Lepisosteus oculatus: one gene and its partner. The protein of the gene in region 2 interacts with the protein of the main gene of each other region in a biochemical or structural test. Links are inferred from orthologs where the notes say so. Each region holds a gene or a part of one and is shown on either strand. Other genes may lie near its edges.

Evidence for each region.
Region 1: the proteins of cdh31 (region 2) and ctnnd1 form a complex in vitro, tested with the Homo sapiens proteins (5 studies listed by BioGRID and IntAct, with this or other methods). The link is inferred for Lepisosteus oculatus from reciprocal best matches to the Homo sapiens genes CDH1 and CTNND1.

The regions. Positions count from the first base shown.
Region 1 is NC_090701.1:41,498,861-41,507,851, reverse strand, and holds the start of ctnnd1 (catenin delta-1), read right to left. Parts: upstream 3,633-8,991; 5' UTR 3,216-3,632; coding exon 3,178-3,215; intron 2,980-3,177; coding exon 2,853-2,979; exon of another isoform or gene 2,848-2,852; intron 1-2,847. UniProt on the Homo sapiens protein: Key regulator of cell-cell adhesion that associates with and regulates the cell adhesion properties of both C-, E- and N-cadherins, being critical for their surface stability.
Region 2 is NC_090715.1:9,220,274-9,229,600, forward strand, and holds the start of cdh31 (B-cadherin), read left to right. Parts: upstream 1-5,620; 5' UTR 5,621-5,710; intron 5,711-7,999; 5' UTR 8,000-8,235; coding exon 8,236-8,286; intron 8,287-9,109; coding exon 9,110-9,227; intron 9,228-9,327.

The DNA of each region.
Region 1 (8,991 bases), on a different chromosome or scaffold from region 2:
TGCGAGACCCCTGGAGCAGCAGCAGCGCGGCCCCCTCTGCGCGACTCTCCCGCTGGTCCCTCTGCTCACGAGGCCCCTGGGCGTACAGCACCGCCGAGCCCCACACGGGCCACTGCCGACGATCATGGTTACCGCCGCTGCGTTTCCGGGGCAACAGGGGACCAGGCGCGGCCTGAGGACAGACGGTAACCATGACCGCGAGGGATGGGGTATACCAGCGCCTACGCAGGTGCACCGGGGGGAGCTGCACAACAGCACCCCGAATAGCCAAGGAGCACCCCAAGGAAAGTATCGCGCCCCGCGGGACAGAGGACGCACGCTTGAAGAGCACGAGAAAGCCCTCCCTCACGGGACAGCCACAGCACCGACGCACGGGCAACACCCCGGCTCACCACGGACCTGCCAGCTGACTAGCGCGCCCCGCGGGGAGCTGCCCGGCAGTCCCCACGCCGCTCACAGAGCCGCGGCAAGACCGACCCACGGGCCCCGCCGAGGGGCTGGGAGAGGCTCGCTCACGAGCCGGACCCGTCCACCGCTCCTGGGCCACGCCGAGTCGGGAAGAAGCCCGTCTGCGCGTGCTCACTGCCCCACTGTGTTTTCAGAGCCTTGCCGAGGCCCAGCGGGGGCCCTGAAGGCCAGATCCGCCTGCGGTCATCTCTCCCGCCGAGTCCTGGGTCAGGCCAGGGCTACCCTGACCGACTGAGCCCCACCTGAGATTATAACCTCCGAGCCTCGAGCCTCTTTTAGTCTCAAACAGGGACATAACCCCTCTGTCACCACACTACAGAGAAGGCAGTGCTGCTCTGGAACGCGTCCGGAGAGGAACACCCGAGACACGCCCGGGCTGCAGGGAAAGTCCTGCACTGCCAGGCCGGAGGAAGCAGATCGAGACGGTCTTGAACGGTGCAGACTAGAAGCGGAAACAACACAAACTTTCACAATTTACAAAGGCCCGAGCAACAGGCATTTAAAACCAAAACCAGGAGGCACGTCCTACACAAAGGGTTGTGGGAGTGGGGAACAGGCCACCCGGTGCCGATGTCTCATGCTCCAGCGTTGCTGGACTCGGGGCTTCCCTGTCCCATTGGAACACGGCTCTACTCCTACTGCCAACACTCCTCCTGAAACCTGGCGACACTCACGTTTCACACAACGATGCTGCTGGAATGACTGTCATCCACGCTGGGACCTGACCTGCAGGAATACAGGCCGGGCCAATGAGACCACAACGCCACAGAACTCCGGCAGTGAGAAGCTACAGAGGGAGCATCTCCCACCAGCCAGAATGTGATCAGTCTGACTCCCCCCCCCCCCCCCACAACACACACACAACTCCTCAACGGGGAACCCGGGCCCTCCACCACAACCCCAGACCACATCAGACTGGTTCCACCGGCATCCCTTATCCCCTGGACCTCAAAAACACTTCAACCACCATAATCGCTCCTCTTCAGTGTGTCTGGACTGTATTAACCCCTCTCTCTCAGTGCAGTGTTAATGTCCTGTAGTGTCCAGTCAGTGTGTCTGGACTGTATTAACCCCTCTCTCTCAGTGCAGTGTTAATGTCCTGTAGTGTCCAGTCAGTGTGTCTGGACTGTATTAACCCCTCTCTCTCAGTGCAGTGTTAATGTCCTGTAGTGTCCAGTCAGTGTGTCTGGACTGTATTAACCCCTCTCTCTCAGTGCAGTGTTAATGTCCTGTAGTGTCCAGTCAGTGTGTCTGGACTGTATTAACCCCTCTCTCTCAGTGCAGTGTTAATGTCCTGGAGTGTCCAGTCAGTGTGTCTGGACTGTATTAACCCCTCTCTCTCAGTGCAGTGTTAATATCCAGACTGTACTGTATTAATGAATAGTCAGCACGTTTCACATGAAAACTCAACTCTACTGCGGGACACAAAGATTCAGTTTTCTCCTGCAGACGATTTCAAAATAGCGTTATTGGACTCTGAACCCGGAAACCTAGGCGAGATGACGAGCGAACTACAAACATCTGGCCTCAATAACGAGGCTGCGCAGGGAGCGCAGAGGCCGAGGGACTCTTATCTCGACAGCGAGCGCGCCCCCGCCGGGCCCGGCGCAGGTACAGGTGAGCTGTAATGGCCGCTGCCTGCTGCAGCTCCGCCCCGAACCGGCCCAAACGGCACCGGGCCAGGCTAGCTCCCGCCCTCCCCAGCACAGCTCCAGCGCTCCAGATCCACAGCTGCCCCCCCTCAAAGAACCGCGCGCACCGAAGAATGCGAACGTAAGAGGTCGAGAACTCCCAGCTATCGCGCGCACCGTGCGCGAGCCCGTGGCGAGGGCTGGGGATCCCTCGGGCTGCCGCGAGCCCGGAGGACCCGCGCGGCCTGGCCGGGTCATCGGCGCTTCGCTTCACCCACTCGCGCTCCGGCGGGGTGCGTGCGCGAGCACGTCGCCTCACAGACCCACCGAACCGGTTCGCGAGCCGCCCGCAGCGCCACCGGTGACCGCGGCGAGCTGTGGCGTCACACTCGCGAGTCGGGACATGCTGGGCGGTGTGTGTGGGGGGGGCGGGCGGCAGTTTCGGCTCCAGCATTTCAAAACAAGCAAGTCGAGGGGGGAGCGGCGCCGGCGAGGACACACCTGGCGACCGGGCCCGAACCCCCCCGGCGCTGGTGCCTCCCCACACCCCTGGACCCCCGCAGACCTTTCTGCTCCACCGCCACCCGCGACACCGTCCTGACGCCGTCAGTCAAAACCACAAGAAAACTCCGGCGAAGCGCTGAAACTCCAACTGTAACCGCACACACGGCGGGCCGCCAGGTCCCCGGTACTCCGGCTGCAGCCTGGACACACACACACACGGGGGCAGGACGGGCCGAGCCCTTACCTCACCTGGTCCCGCCGGGCGCGTCGCTGCTGTCCGGCGCCGGAACCGTCGGTCGTCACTGGCTCGCGCTGGGCGTCACGGTCTCTCCCCTCGCGGCGACGTCCCGCTGCACGAGTCCCCCAGTCCGCCACGCTGAGCGAGAGGCAGAGAGACGGCAGGGCTGAGACCGGCGCCCGGGAGCCGCACCTCCCAGTCCCTTCCACAGCCCACACTCAAGCTAGGGAGAGCGCTTTTATTTTGAAGCGGCGAGGTGTCCCAGGGACAGACGGACATCTTCGGGCACTACCAACAGTAGCTTTCTCCCTCCTCCCCCCCACCCACCACCCTCACCGTCGGTTCGCGATAATCCTCCGTCTCCCTCTCGGCATACGTGTTCAAACGGCCGGACACGCCGCCCAGCCGCGCGAGAACGCCGGAGTTGGGGCTCCGCGGTTGCGCAGCGAGTTTCTGTGTGGAAGTGGGCCTCTGGAAAAGAGGACTCGGGCGCCGCAACCACACGAAAGCTGGGGCTCGTTACAAAAATAACTAGACAGCGGGCAACAGCGTTCAAGTTAGCAAAGAAAAGACGAAAATCTCCACAGCGGAGAGACGGCGCAGATTTGCTTTTAGGGAAAAAAAGGGGGGGGCAGAGAAACTTCGGACCGTCAGGAGCTGTTCCTCCTGCGCGTCTCTTCCTTTGTGTCTGCCTTTTTTTAAAAAAATAAATAAACCCGTCCCCCCGACCCGGTGCGAGAGGAGACGTGCGCCTGCGAGAGCCGCCCGCGGCCCCGACTCGCCCCGGCCGCTCGAGCGGAGCCTGCCGGGACGGGGCTCGAGCCAGCCAGCCAGCCAGCCCGAGCCGCTCAGTCTCGTGCGCCCCGACTCCCAGGCACTTCCGACATCCACCCGCCGCCGCCGCCGCTGAGACCTACCTAGGAGCCGTCCTCTCCCGCACGCCGAAATCCTATCCCGGGGAGGACTCGAGTGTGCCTGTGTGTGTGTGTGTACGCTTGGCCGTGTCTCCCGGGGCCGTGCGTGAGTGCGTGTCCCGGGCCTGAGCGCTGCCGGGGCTGCTCCGAGTCTGTCTCTCTCTCTCTCTCACGGTTTTTCCCCGCCGCCGAATTCGGGCGTCTGACTGTACCGACTCCGCTCCGCGACTACATGGGTGTGGACACCCCAGCCAGAAAAGGAAGCAAGCGAGGAAGAAAGAAAGAAAACAAAAAAAAAGGACTATCCCCTCCCTCTTTTTCCCCACCTCTCTTTCTCTGTCCGTGTTCCCGTCTTTCCGCTGCTCCGTGTCCCTGTCGACTCTCCCTGTTAAAGTTGGAGCCCGTGAATCTCGCGCAGCAGGGCTGGGAGGGGGATGTGTACAGGGGTTACCGTAACGACCGGGGTAGGTGGACACCCTAAAACCGGAGCGCGCCCGGAGGCTCGTCTGTCCCCCCCGCTAGCGCCTGGGCCTCCTCTCAAGTGTCATTAACGTATACCCTATTTAGAAATACAGAACAGCAGCCCAGATGTTCATTTTGTTTGATAGTTTTGATGACGTATTTCTTGCATACATGTTCATCTTAATAGAGAGGTTGGAAGTGGAACCAGAATTGTTTGCGAGTTCCCAGGACTGAATAAGAATCATCATTATCATAATAATAATAATACGTACAGGATCTGTGTTTCTGCTTTTATTCCATACGCTTGGAATATAAGAAAACAGACTCATGAGCTCATTGTTTAGAGGTGTGCGCATACCCCGTGTACTACGGTACCCCCCAGGGCGCGGCAGCTGGGAGCGGCTCCCAGTCCAATGGGATCCTCCCATCATTCTTTCGGGAAGAGAGGAGGAAGATTAGCCCGAAAAAAAAAAGGGAGGGGTGTGGAGCCGACCAATAGCTAAGGCGCTTTTTTTTATCCGACGTGTTGCGTTCCCTCGCCCTGCTCACGAGCAGGCTCGGCGAGCTCCAGTCAGGAAGTTGCGCCCTGGTCCTTTAATTAAGCGCAGACAATTACAGCCCGCGGTCCGGGGCGTGTCGAGCGCAGTCGGCGAGAGTTCACGAGCGCCACACGGCGGGCGGGCGGAAGTCTGGCTGCGCGGGGTCAAAGAGCGCGTGTGGCGATATGCAAATGAGCGCCTCGGCCCCTTGTTCTCGGTCAACACGCCGGAGCCCGACCCGCCGGCGCTTTCACCTCCCCAGTTTCAGGGTGTGCGCTCACGCCTGCCCCGGGAGGAGTGTGTGTAGCTTGCAGCGTCTCAGGGAGGTGAGGCACTGTGCTGTAGCAGCAGCCCTCCCTCAGGTGAGCAGTTTAGCTGTGATCAGGTGGGGTCCTCTTCTGGTCTGTGGCTTTTCATCATCACCTGTAACAGAGATAAATGAATGGTGCTGATTAGCGTTGGTCATGCACAGGCTTGTTCAACAGGCTCTGCTGTGAGAAGCCGGATTGTGGGATTGTGTCTCCTTTCCTACAGTCTGGACAAGCGTGTGTCTGTTCACTGGTCTCTGAGCCCCAGTGCTACCTGTTGTCCCAGATTATCCCACAGGTGTCCACTGGGGCTCCAGTGCACAGCATCTCTGTCACTCTCTGCTCTCTCAGGACAGGTGTCCACTGGGGCTCCAGTGCACAGCATCTCTGTCACTCTCTGCTCTCTCAGGACAGGTGTCCACTGGGGCTCCAGTGCACAGCATCTCTGTCACTCTCTGCTCTCTCAGGACAGGTGTCCACTGGGGCTCCAGTGCACAGCATCACTGTCACACTGCTCTCTCTCAGGACAGGTGTCCACTAGGGCTCCAGTCCACAGCTTCACTGTCACAGTGCTCTCTAAGGACAGGTGTCCACTGGGGCTCCAGTCCACAGCTTCACTGTCACTCTGCTCTCTCAGGACAGGTGTCCACTGGGGCTCCAGTCCACAGCATCACTGTCACAATCTCTGTGCCTCTGTTTCTCAGTTTATATGGTCTGCCCTGTAGTTTCCACCTGTGTCCTCTGGTTCCTGTTTCCCTGTAGATCCTGACGAGCTCCGCTGGGCTGACTTTGTCAATATATTTTAATTTTTTTCATTTACTTGAATCAAGTTCCCTTATAGTCTTCCCCATTCAAAACTAAAGAGATTCAGTTCATTGTCCTCACAATTTGGAACAACAAAGAAATTGGATTGATATTTTTCCCTATCTGCACGTACATTGAATATCATCTGCCAGGTGTTTACCCTGTTCTGACGTCTATTTAAATCCTTTTTAATTGAATTTGGGAGCTTCTGCAGTGTCCGCTAATCCCCCTAATTAGGCATGATTTTACTGCATTGATCTGTGTGCAAGTGTCTCGATTGTTTTTACCACGTTTCATGGTAAAAAGCAATGATGTGTCATGAAAGGTGCTATATCCAATGCAGATCAGATGCCACAACAATGGAGCAAACCTTTTAGTAGTTGGCTTTGGAAGCCAAATCACAACCTGTTTAATTGGCTCCGCGGTTCAGAGCAAAACCCAGGAGACAACAGGTGATGAGTCTGAGAGCCCATCTTTCCTGGGGTCCAGTGCTTAGTGACACTCCCTCTCCCTCTGTCTCCCTCTCGTCCCTCATCCTGCGGCCTACTCACAGAGGCCTAAGCTTCTTCAGAAAGTCCAACAAGTTCCTGGCGATACAGGAGCAAAAGTAAGCAGAGCGTGTTGGCGTGGACTTGTGAAGGTCCTGCGCTACAGCCACGGGCGCCGTGTGAGGCCGGATTGTTTCTGTGTGCGGAGCTCAGCCCCCTCGGGGGAGAAGTCGGCCAGGGTGATGTCATCCTTCATGGAACAGGCACACAAAGGAAAGGGGAAGTGGAATTGTTTAGAAACGGAAATTATTAACATTCCACAATCCCGAGGCCCAGCCGCAGACCGCCGTGACCGCTCGTCACGCGCTGGCCTGGACGCGCACGGCACATCACGGCGACCCGCTCGGAGCGCGAGGGACTGGCCGCCGACCGCAGCGCCGCACCGATACGGAGGTCATCGCCGGCCCCCTGTGTCCGCAGGGGCGGGGGGGGGGTCAGGCTCAGACCGTGAGAACATAAGAACTGTTAACTAGCAAGGCCAGGCCCTTCAGCGCGTTGGGTTAGTAGTTAAATGATCTGAGAAGCTCATCCAGCTCGCTCCACACTCCCACCACCCTTTGTGTAAAGCAGTGCCTCCTGTCCTGACTGGAGGATCTCAGGGTATGAGTTCCTTCAGCCTGTCAGTGTAGAACTTTCCCACAGGTCCTGGAATGGATCCCTGATGAGTACTAAAAAGAAATCAGGGCCATAGCCCTGAGGAATGTTGATTTGTTTGATACACGGCTGGAAAAATAATAAGATCACTTTAGTGGCCATATACAATTTATTGCATTAGGAATTTGGCTTTTCACATACCCCAGCTTGCTCTCCATGAGACACACAGACAGGGAGAGAAGCTGGGGGTCAGAGCGCAGGGTCAGCCATTTATACAGCACCCCTGGAGTAGCTGGGGTTAAGGGCCTTGCTCAGGGGCCCAACAGAGTAGGAGTCCTCTGCCAGCTGTGGGATTTGAGCCAGCAACCTTCCACAGGCACAGATCCTCAGCCACAGAGCCACTGCTCCACCCCAGGGAATTAACTAGTAGCCATCTGACATCTACCAATTTGTCGGAGCAGAGGTGATTTAAAAACAACTCCCGATACTTTTCTCATACCGGATGGCCGTTTATTTACGTCTGTAACAACTGTATTTTAAGTATCGGAAGAAATGACAGATCATTCTCTCACGATGTTGCAGGAAAACGAGTCAACATGAGTCACGGAGCTCATTGACACCTGTCCGCACAGGCTCCTCCTGTGTGATGTCAGAGGTAATCTAAAACACACTGCAGCAGGGAACCCGGTCACGGTCCAGCCCGCTCCGCTCCAGGGCTTCGGCACACCCAGCAGCCGGACAATTACAGACAAGGGCATAAGGCAGCAGCTGAATACGAAAAAATGCTGAAATACTCAACAGTCCGATATTAATGAACACGTGTGTGTGACAGAGAAGTTTATTCTCCACTTCCTCCTCCCACTACCACTACTCATAGTGACACACCCTATACAGATAGCACGGCAACTCGGCGTTTAACAGCAATCACGCTGAGGTAACTCCGTGAAGTTGACCCCCCCTCCAAACAGCACAAACGGTGAAACCCACCTCATTCGTTTGTGCCGGTTAGTAGCGTCTAGTAGAAAGCAGCGTCTGTGCTGCTTTCGTTTCCGAGATATAGCGCCCTGTTTCTTCGGGGTCGTGACGTCACTCAGCCCCTCTACAATGTCGTAGGGAAACCAAACCGGTCCCATTCGTTAGTACTACGTTTATGCCGGTTTGTGCCGTTGAAAGTAACTTCCCAGCTTCTTTCTTTCCCGAGATATAGCGCCTTCTTTGGGGGGGGTGACGTCACTCAGCCCTCCTACAATGTCGTAGGGGAACCGGACCGATCTCAATCGTTAGTGCTGCGTTTGTGCCGGTTTGTGCCGTTGAAAGTAACTTCCCAGCTGCTTCCCAGCTTCCCAGAACATGTACAGATACATGCTCCACCTGTATGAGTTAAGCACGAAGACCTTCTAAAATTTCTCCTGTAAACAAATTACAAGGTTTGAAATGCATGAACAACATTAAGATAAAATATTGAAGGAGAGATGCGAGTGTGCATTTTACAGATAACTATTCGATATCGCCTCTAAATGACCTGCAGTATTTTTAAGTAAACGACGTTTACAGAGCTAAAATACATCCAAAGTATGTATTTGACGCTTTTATTAGCAGACCATTCTTGCACTTAAAGGTACGATTAATTGGTTAGCACTGTAAATGGACTATAACAATTCAGTGTAAAGTCTTGTGGGAAGTCACGAATTTCCAAATAAGGTGTCTTTTGGCAACGAAAATAGAACACTAATTTCGTGGGTTTCATACAAGTTTAAAAACATCATGAAGGATCAAACAAGATCTTCAGAACTTAATATTTTAATACCTTCGCAGTTTTTATTCTCATGGCGCCTCACTCGATATTACCCTCGGGGCGATGCATTTACTCCAGCCTCTGAAACCCATACGTGCGTGCACCTTCTTCTGGTATGTTACGCTGAAGTCCGCTGAATATTTAAAGGCAAGGTAAAAGCCAAGGTAAGTTGGCCCCCCTACAAAC
Region 2 (9,327 bases):
AATAATAACATCAGCCTTTGTTTTGATCATTTACGGAACGGTTCAATTTTTATCATGTTTTTTGTATCGAGATCAAAAGTACAATGTTAATCTTCAGACGAGATAAACAAAAGTGTTGTTTAAAAGTACCAAAAGGCTCGGCATCACAACTTATCATCTCCAGAGACTCCCAAAATCAGCAGATGAGTCTAGCAACACGTCACATAACGTTTGAGCTTCGGGTGTGTTGTATCCGTTGGTAGAGGATCTCAAAGCGGATTTATTGCGATAACTTTCATTTCGTAATGTATACACTTGGTTAATGTGGCCGTGGAATTGAATGATCTCGAACTGTATACCTGTGATGGCAGATTAAAAGAGTAGTGCGTCACACAACCCAGGATACCTGTCTGTGCTCTTGGTCCGACTGTGACCCAGCTCCAAAGTTAAGAAGGGGGGTGCGCTATGTCCACGTATCAATGGCAAGCAGTATGTGATAAAGACAAGCCCCCACCACACACTTCATCCTTTCTCAGCCCTAAATAAATGTCCTGTTTTAATGAACAGGTAAAGGTTTAGTCGTGGACTAAATAAACTAAACCTTTACCTGTTCCTTTGCAGCCTACGCGTGGTGACCCAGCACCCTGCATGTCCCCTGTCGTATCAATATACAGTATGACGCAGGCACTTACTTTTGTGCAAGGGTATTGTGAGAGCAGCAGCAGTACCAAAACTATTGGTAGTCTTAACACAACACTGACAATAGCGCGTATATCCGTTTCAGTAAACGCTCTGCGTCGTACAGTATGGTGCCGCTGTGAGGCGGTTGAACCTGATTTTTTAAATGGAGGAGGGTCGTCTCCGCACGCAGGCCGTTAGTCTGTCTTGTTGCTCGGTTAGCAAGCCAGGTTTGTGTTAACTCCGGTTTACAGAGAGGAACAAACTGCGCTCGTTAAATTTAAATGTGTTTACACTTTCCGATGAATTATTAATTTCGCAGCTGTCCAGCTGTCTCGGTTTAAACCGGCGGATGTCATATCAGCTTTGAAAGCGTACGACATTATTGTAGTCAGGACTGTACCCTATATATTTTTTTCAGTATATATACTGTATATACGTTTATTTTGTGATAATACAAAATGTGTGCGCTGGTAAGACAAAATTGATCCTTCTGTTATTTTAAAGTTAGAGGTGTTTGGGACTGGAAACGTTTTATAGGATTGACGTATGCATTTGTGATATATTCCGATGCCCTAAAAGTTATTGTATATACATAATTATCCAGTTAGGTGTAGATTTTTATTTTTCTAAATGATGGGTGCTTAATCACTGTGTTGTGACATTAACTGTGTTGTGGTGACATTACACCGCGCTAGAAGATTGAATTTCTTTTGGCGGGACAGGGTGTAGTCTGGTGTTTGAAAACCTCTTTGTCTTTATTAGGTAGCTGGAGAAATTAGCATTTCATCTGGCCTTTGTTGGGAGGTGGGGGAGCACTCCACTCCCTCATCTTGTATGGACTGCATGCCTAAGGGGTATGGAACCAAGACACTACACTTTTTTCTTTGTAGTTTCTGCATTCCTTCTTGGGGCTTGGTTTTATACTGAGCAAAGTTACTGAGACCCAAGATTTTGAATTCCGGAGAAGATTTTGCTTCTTAAGAGTGCCCTTAGCCATTTACTAATATTCTTAGTATATGAATTATAATGCACGTTGAAAATACTGCGTTTAAGAGGTTAGATTCAGAGGTACAAAAGTGGTTAAAATAAACATTTTCTTCCTAAATGAAAAAAAAAATCCTGGTTACACCCTGGATTGTGTCATTGACCCATCACACTAAGACCTTGTGATCAACCTCCTCTGTAGATGCATTTAAAGGCCACAGGGTCTATCCACAATGTGCTGCCTCTGAATCACAGCCACTATAAATACAAAACCACATTCTGATACTGCATGTTAAGGAAACTGAAGCATACCATTTAGATTTTTTTTATTCTTTGTATTTTTACATTGCAGGAGTAATACAGAATGAGCAGCTAGAGATGCCATTTTGGGAATAAATACAGTATTGATTTACTGTACAATCATCCAATGACAGATCATGCTCTAGATTATGAAAAATAACCTTAATTACTTTTTCCCCGCTTCTGATAATTAACAGTGTTCAACTATCAAAAAAAGTCTTCATAAGGCAGCATGAATGGTTGTGGTTGTCTAGAACATTCTACCCAACATTGCTTATTTCAAGAAATGGCTGGATAAGATCAAGCCAGATTAATTAGCTACTAAAAGTGAAACAAGCTAGGAGGGCAAAATTACTTCCTCTGCTTTGGTTTGCATTTTTTTATTCCAGAGTATGTAATGGATAATCATACCCACTGTTTAACCCGATGGGAGTTTCACTTCACAAGACCTCAACATCAGCAGAGGTTTAATATTCCATAAACTTTGAGATGTTAGTACATTCTTTAAATTTAATAATACACCTTTTAAGACTAACATCTGGCACTCCTATGAAAAACTGAAACTAACACTAATGATTATATCATTGTTGTGAAACCCAATATTATTTCAACCACTGACTGCGACAGGTGATAACAGGTTTTACAGCATGTGCTTAAACATATATATTTTTTCTTTTTTAGGGACTGAAGTTCAAAACCACACCTAGTATGAAAGGGAACTTGTCAGCCATTTTGGCTGTGTTTATTTATTCATGTTTATGTTTCAAATGCTTCACAATTTGTTTTTAAAAAAAACAGGTTATACTGACAGTTAGGTGAACATCTGCTACATGAAATCCAAAATACTGTGCATGCTCCCCGATAAACATTTGTTAGAAAGGTTTTATTAAACTAAAGGTTACATAAGGTAAGATATGTATACTCCTAACTTTAATTTTATAATTTTGTGTTTATAAAAACATCATCTCTGTTGAATCATTGCAAACATCTTTCTAAAACAAGCCTGATACGACCTTGTGATTCATATTTTTGTCTTCACAAAGTCACCTGTCTTTTCTAACAGTGGCTGCCTTTTAACATTCTCAGTATGCTTCCCTGACGGTAAACTGTACTGCATTTAAAAAGTCAAAACTAATCTGATTCTCATGGGATGAGCTTTTACCATTAAAATTAATGTGGATTGATTTGTGGAAGAAAATAGGGGGTGGTAATAAAGGGTCAATAGATCTAAAAATCATTAATAATTAACAAAAATAAAAATATTTTTGATATATTAAGATATGTTTTTGAGATGTATTGCTCAAAACTGCGAGTTTGCTCTTGTTTGAAGCAAAATGGGATTCCTTGATAAACAGCACAGTTGAAAAATGACAAGAATATCTTTTTTCTAAATATCTAGGATCCAAACCTCCCCAGTTTTCCTTTGATGAAAGACGTTTGACTTTACTATCAAATATTAATCTGAACTGAGTGGTGAAGAAATTAAAAAAATATATTGTTTTGAATTGACAGCACTATAGCACAGTGGTTAGAATTATTGTCCTGTAGCACTGGGTTCAGTTCTTGATCAGGGGTTATATCTGCGTGACTTTTGTACTGTATGTTCTCCCTATCTGTGCCTGGATTTCATCTGATATATTGTGCTCTGGTTTCTTCCCACAGTCCAAAGACATACTGGTAGGTTAAATGGCTTCTGAGAAAACTGCCCCTGTTGAGAGTGTGTGGTGCCTGTTTGTGTCTGCCTGAGATGGACTGGTGTCCTGCCCAGCATGTACCCTGCCTTGTGCCTGTTGCTTGCTGGGTTAGGCTCCAGCTGCCCTGAACTGGAACAAATTATTAGAAGATCAATGGATGGATTACTTTGAATTTCCATGGGTAAACCCAAACCACCATAGTGATTTTTTTTTTCTCGGTTTGGCGTGAGTTAAGTGTAATCTGAAATGCAATATATCACATAATATTGTATGTTTGTGGTGAATTACTGTACAGTGGTTATTATCCTGTATTTCAAGCTCTGGTCAAAACAATGTATTTTAGAGTTACTTATACTGCAAAAAGAAAGTGATGAGAGTACTGTTAGGTATCACAAATAATGGAAACCAGCCATAATGAAAAGGTTTCAATCACTATGAAGAAATGTTCATACATAGGTATTTCTGCTGCATTATAGGGGTTTTAATAATGGATCTCCATGGAGTCTCTGGGAACGTTGAGTAAATACTAAATATACGTCTTTTTCTTTCCAGCTTTTCCTGCAAGTATTTGAAGACCTTATTGTGGCAGACAATGTTTTCTGTTTAATGTTCTTTTTTGCTTTATTACATTTTTATAATGTTTGGGCCTTATTCAAACATGTATGATTAAATATAATACACATTTAAAATAACAACTGAAACCCAATTAATCATAAAAAATGTTACTTAGCTTTTTAAAAATAATGATGTTACAACTTCATTAAGTTTAAAGCTTTCATTTGTGCATGAAGTGCACCTTGATTTTCACAATCTCTTACAAAACATGCATACAGAAGGAAGACCTAAAATACAATGTCATGTGGCAGGGTATGTCTGGCAGTTTATGTTGGAAAGAAAGGCGTTTTTTGTATTTGAGAAACAAGAAACAAAAGGTCAACTCACTTGGTCTAATTTGAATTTCATGTTACATTAAAAATGAAATAAAAACTTGATGCGTTGTATTTTATGACAATTAGGAGAACTTCATGAGGAGAATAACATATAGGCAGAAAAATGTTTTTAAATCTAATCTATTTAGGTTTTTTTTTTATTAAAACTGAATATCAAACGTCTATACCCAGAGGCTGTATGCCTTTCATTTGTCTGAGCTTTATGGCTTTATAGATATTAATTGAAAACAAAATTTGGCTTGTGGTACTGTACATGGAAGAATTACATTCTAATTATAATTGTTATTGCTTTACTGTGGCATATGTTTTTCATTTTTTCACTATGATAGTATACAGTGCTGCTACGTTGAAGCATGTTCAAAGCTTGAAGATGTATACAGTATATCTGTTAAATGCATATTAAAGTTGTGCTAAAACTGATGCCTAGTTTAAGTACTGCAACAATGCCTGCATCTCCGCTTGTCTGTGCTGACATGACTCTTATTTTGTCTTTTCCTCACCTTAATATTGACCTTTTATTTTGTTTTGTATAAAAGAACCACATAAAACAAGATGTTTAAGGTATTCCTTAAACATTCCTTTTGAAAATCTTGATGAAATATGTGCTTCACTTACAAAAGGGTAAATTGTTTTATTTCACTTTTAAAACACTAACAAAGTGAAATACACGAAACACCTGAAATAACCATATATTTTTAGATCCTGCAAAAAACCTGTCCTTTTTACAATGGAACACTAAAAGGGTAACTCATATTCCGTCATATACTTTACATCCGTAAAGTAAATATAGAATACGCTGCATTTGTATTGTGTTAATTATTCATTGTAATACTTTAGAGAATGCTCAATACCTGTATCATATTACTCTAAATGTTAATTAGCACCAAGTCAGTGAAAAACAGTTTTCTAGTTATGGACAACAATCTAGGTTTTTCCAATTCTGAATGGGGCAGGCTCTAGGATCTCGAGGGTCTGCCACCAGGAAGAGAAGCTGAATAGTGCTATTCAGTGTACTGTGTGCAGAATGAAGTCAGTATACATATGCTCTCTTCATGTGTACAGTCTATGCAAGTAAGCCAAGAGCGCCTTCAGAAAACTTTGTTTCACCAGTTTTGAGAAAAGGTAAATAATTTCTTATTTTTTATTAATGAACTTATTTCTTTGCAATTTTGACAGGCTTCATATCATTCACAACAATAGACATTTTAAGGGTGTGAAACAACATCTTACTCTTGCTACTAAAGTAAAAAAGATGGGTAGGAATAATATGTAAGGCTCATGTTGCCTGGCCTTAGGACAGCATTTTGAATCTGTATTTCTTTAGAACCTGAGAGGAAGTAAACATGGATGGGTGTGTTTACTTCCATCCTAGGTGTCCAAGGGTAGCTTCAGAGGATTGCTTCATACTAACTGTATGTGATGATGAAATGGCTTCTGAAATGGCAGGAAAGCAAGAAACATTTTGTATTTTTTTTGTAATGTCTCTTGGTTTGACAATTGCAAAATGTTGCTTGATGTATTTCCTTTATGTATTTATTGCAGAAATGATCCTGTCCTCTAACAACTGCTCTTTATATATGACCTAGCACATGAAGTATCATGACCAAGTGATTAAAAACATCTGTTCAGCACTGCATTAGGTTCTATATTTAGGTTGTATGTTGTTGGTATTAAGTAGTATAATTTGTATAGGTTCCTTTATAATGCAGTAATTCTAATAGATGTATTGATTGAATAACTACGTTAGTTGTCCATGTTTCTGATGAGCCACCAATAAATCAATTTTTTAAATGTTCAGTTATATTAACAAAAAATGTTGTATTTGTGAACAACTCTATAAAAGAATGCCAAAGGGACTACTTCAGAGAATGTTTTATTGCCATCTGGCTGGTAGTACAATATTAACATTGGTAGGTCCAGCCTGTTAATGAATAACTTCAACAGACATTTACATTTCGTTCTCTAACAGAAAGTGGTGAAGATTTGAAACTGACCAAGCAAACTATGATTTTCTTAATGTAAGGGAAGAATGTCAATATGAGGAGTGTTATCCTGATATAAATTTTGTCTTCATATCTTAAAATACACACAAACAGGTAGTGTCCCTTTCAGTGACTTCAGCGTTCTTATTTCAGTCATTGAGCAATGCAGATTTAGGTTTATTCATTAAAGTATATTTTATTAAACCTGGAACTTTCTGTTATGTTAGTTTACCGAGGATCAGCTTGTTGATAGCAATATTTAGGGGTTCCAAAATGGTATAAAATCTAAGAAATTAGTTCTGTTTTCCAATGAGTGAAACTGGAAGAGAAAATCTGGCACTTTAGAGGCCATTTAATCATTGTACACTATTACAAATGAGATTAGAAAGAGATCAGTTTGTTCATACAAGCATTTGAGAAAATGTACAACTGGAAGTGCTTTATGCATTATTATAAGTGCTTCCTTAATTGAATAAAGAAGTAAATGAAAGACATCCATGAGGAGAGTTTTTTTTCTTCCTTGATGTTGTCAGTGGGTTTGTTTTCTCCTTCGATAGTTTCATGAATGTGTTACCTAAGTATATAGACTGTATTTCACAGCCTCAGAGGATTCTCAGTTTGTGTGATGAATTTCAAAACTGCTGTTTTACCTAGAGAATCCTTCATTGGATGGATGGAAGTACTTAAACCAATGAAGGGATGATAGAGTCTTTGGCTTAAATTTGGCTTTTGAAGTATGTAATTAAATATTTATAGAATTAAATTAATCTTTTTAAATGGTCTTAGCTACTTTATGTAGTAAAGTGGGAGGGTTTCAATGTCACAGAGTAAAAGATTATGAGAACCTTTTGATCTCTGCCTTGTAATACATACTTTTTGACTACAGCTGTCTTTAAAGTACTTTGTTAAAATAAGAACTTACATGTGGTTACTTCGTTTAACCAGTTTTTAGGTGACAATTCATTTATTTCCATTAAGAATTAGTTAATTTGTACCGTCACAAATAGGACCATATAAAGAGGGAATCAGGGAAATCATTGTAGTATTTTTCGTTATCTAGACGATGTGAAAAGATATCCTGAAATCTACATAAAAATAAAACTTGAGTTTGATTTATAGTGTTTTTTGTCAATTTGCACAATGCTCTTTTACACGCAAATACTGTATATGCCTCTATATTCTGGCATTTCGAAAAGCGGTGTTTCAATATATATTGTCTTTTCATTTCTGGCAATGGGTCTTTTGAATTAATACTGGGAAATAAAATTAAGATTAAAATCAGGAAATGCGTTTAATCCGTTGTTTCCCAGAAATAAAAATGGTGACATAAATGTATGGGTGTATCCTCGTTTGTAAGAGGGGGAATTCACTGTTTGAGAACTTTATTAGCATTAGGACCCGGAGATTTACACCCTCTACCTGTTGGCAGGTGGTGATTAAAGGAGCTATGCCCATAATTGGAGCCCGGAGACGTTAAGGAAGGGATGGGCGAGGTCACCTGTACACGTCACTGCATGTTCGAAACTACCTAGGACCGAGAGTTTCGCAGTTGCAGCCTCTGTTTTGAAGGAAGCACACCTTTCCACAAGGTTGAAAGACTCTTAAGGATTTATAATCAACAGATTTGGGCTGCAAATAAGGGATTCTATACAACCTTTCAAACTGATGGGGAGTGTCAGGAGTTTACAGCTGGGAGTAATCCTTCTCTTGGTCCAGGTAAGTCTTCGTGTTTGATTGAAAACGACCAGATCCACAAAGAAATCTCGTTTGACCCAGTATAACAGTTCTTACAGCACGTAGGTTTTAAAGCATCCGATATTGTAGTTTGTATTTATGCGTTTTAGACCCATTGAAAATCCTTTCAATGTGTTCATATAACGTAGATCAGTCGACATTAAAAAATTATGAAGCCTGTAATAACTTCCTGCTGATTGCTCTGTTTTAACGCTACCTTTTAAAGCAATCCTAGAAGAAAATCTATTAATAAAAACGTTTCACCAAAAAGCCTTCAGAAAAAATATTTTGAAAGTTCTTAAAATACGGCATTACCTTTTCAGAATATTACACTGAAACTTGTACGTTCCCATTTCCTGTTTCAAATGATTTAAAGAACTGGTGAACCGGACTCCATGTTATATACCTGTGGATCCTCTCAGACAATCTATTTATTTTTAGTGTTTTTGTAGTATTTTTGATAAGTGCCAATGTGAATTTGTTTCTTAAATACGTGTAACGGATCCCACAGTCGCCCGAAAACAGAGGCTCCTTGAGCTTGACCAAAGCGTCTAAACCCTTTCCAAAAATGGTCTAGTTTTCTTCCTTTTAATAAAACTATACTTTATTTATATAGTAGTGTCGTTTACACTAACATGAGATATTTATGAGATATATATAATATCATATCATTATATTAGTCTCCCTGTAATTTTCCCTCTATTTTCCTACTACTTCTTGCATACAAGTCAAAACTGTATTTCGCAAGTTCGCATCCAGGTATTACAAATGTCCGCTTGAGTGTCTTCGGTTTTTGTTGTTATAGGTTTTGGCTTCAGGATCTTGTGACGAGTCTGTGCCATGCCAGCCTGGCTTCAGTTCCGACAGCTTTGTCTTCAAAGTAAATCGGGAACATTTGCCGAGGGGCCGGATATTGGGGAGAGGTAAGCAATTATATACGTGTATGATTTGGTACACATAACTATCTGCTATATATTTTATATGAAGCTTTGTTTTTCAAGCATACAATTTTCTCGTTCGTTT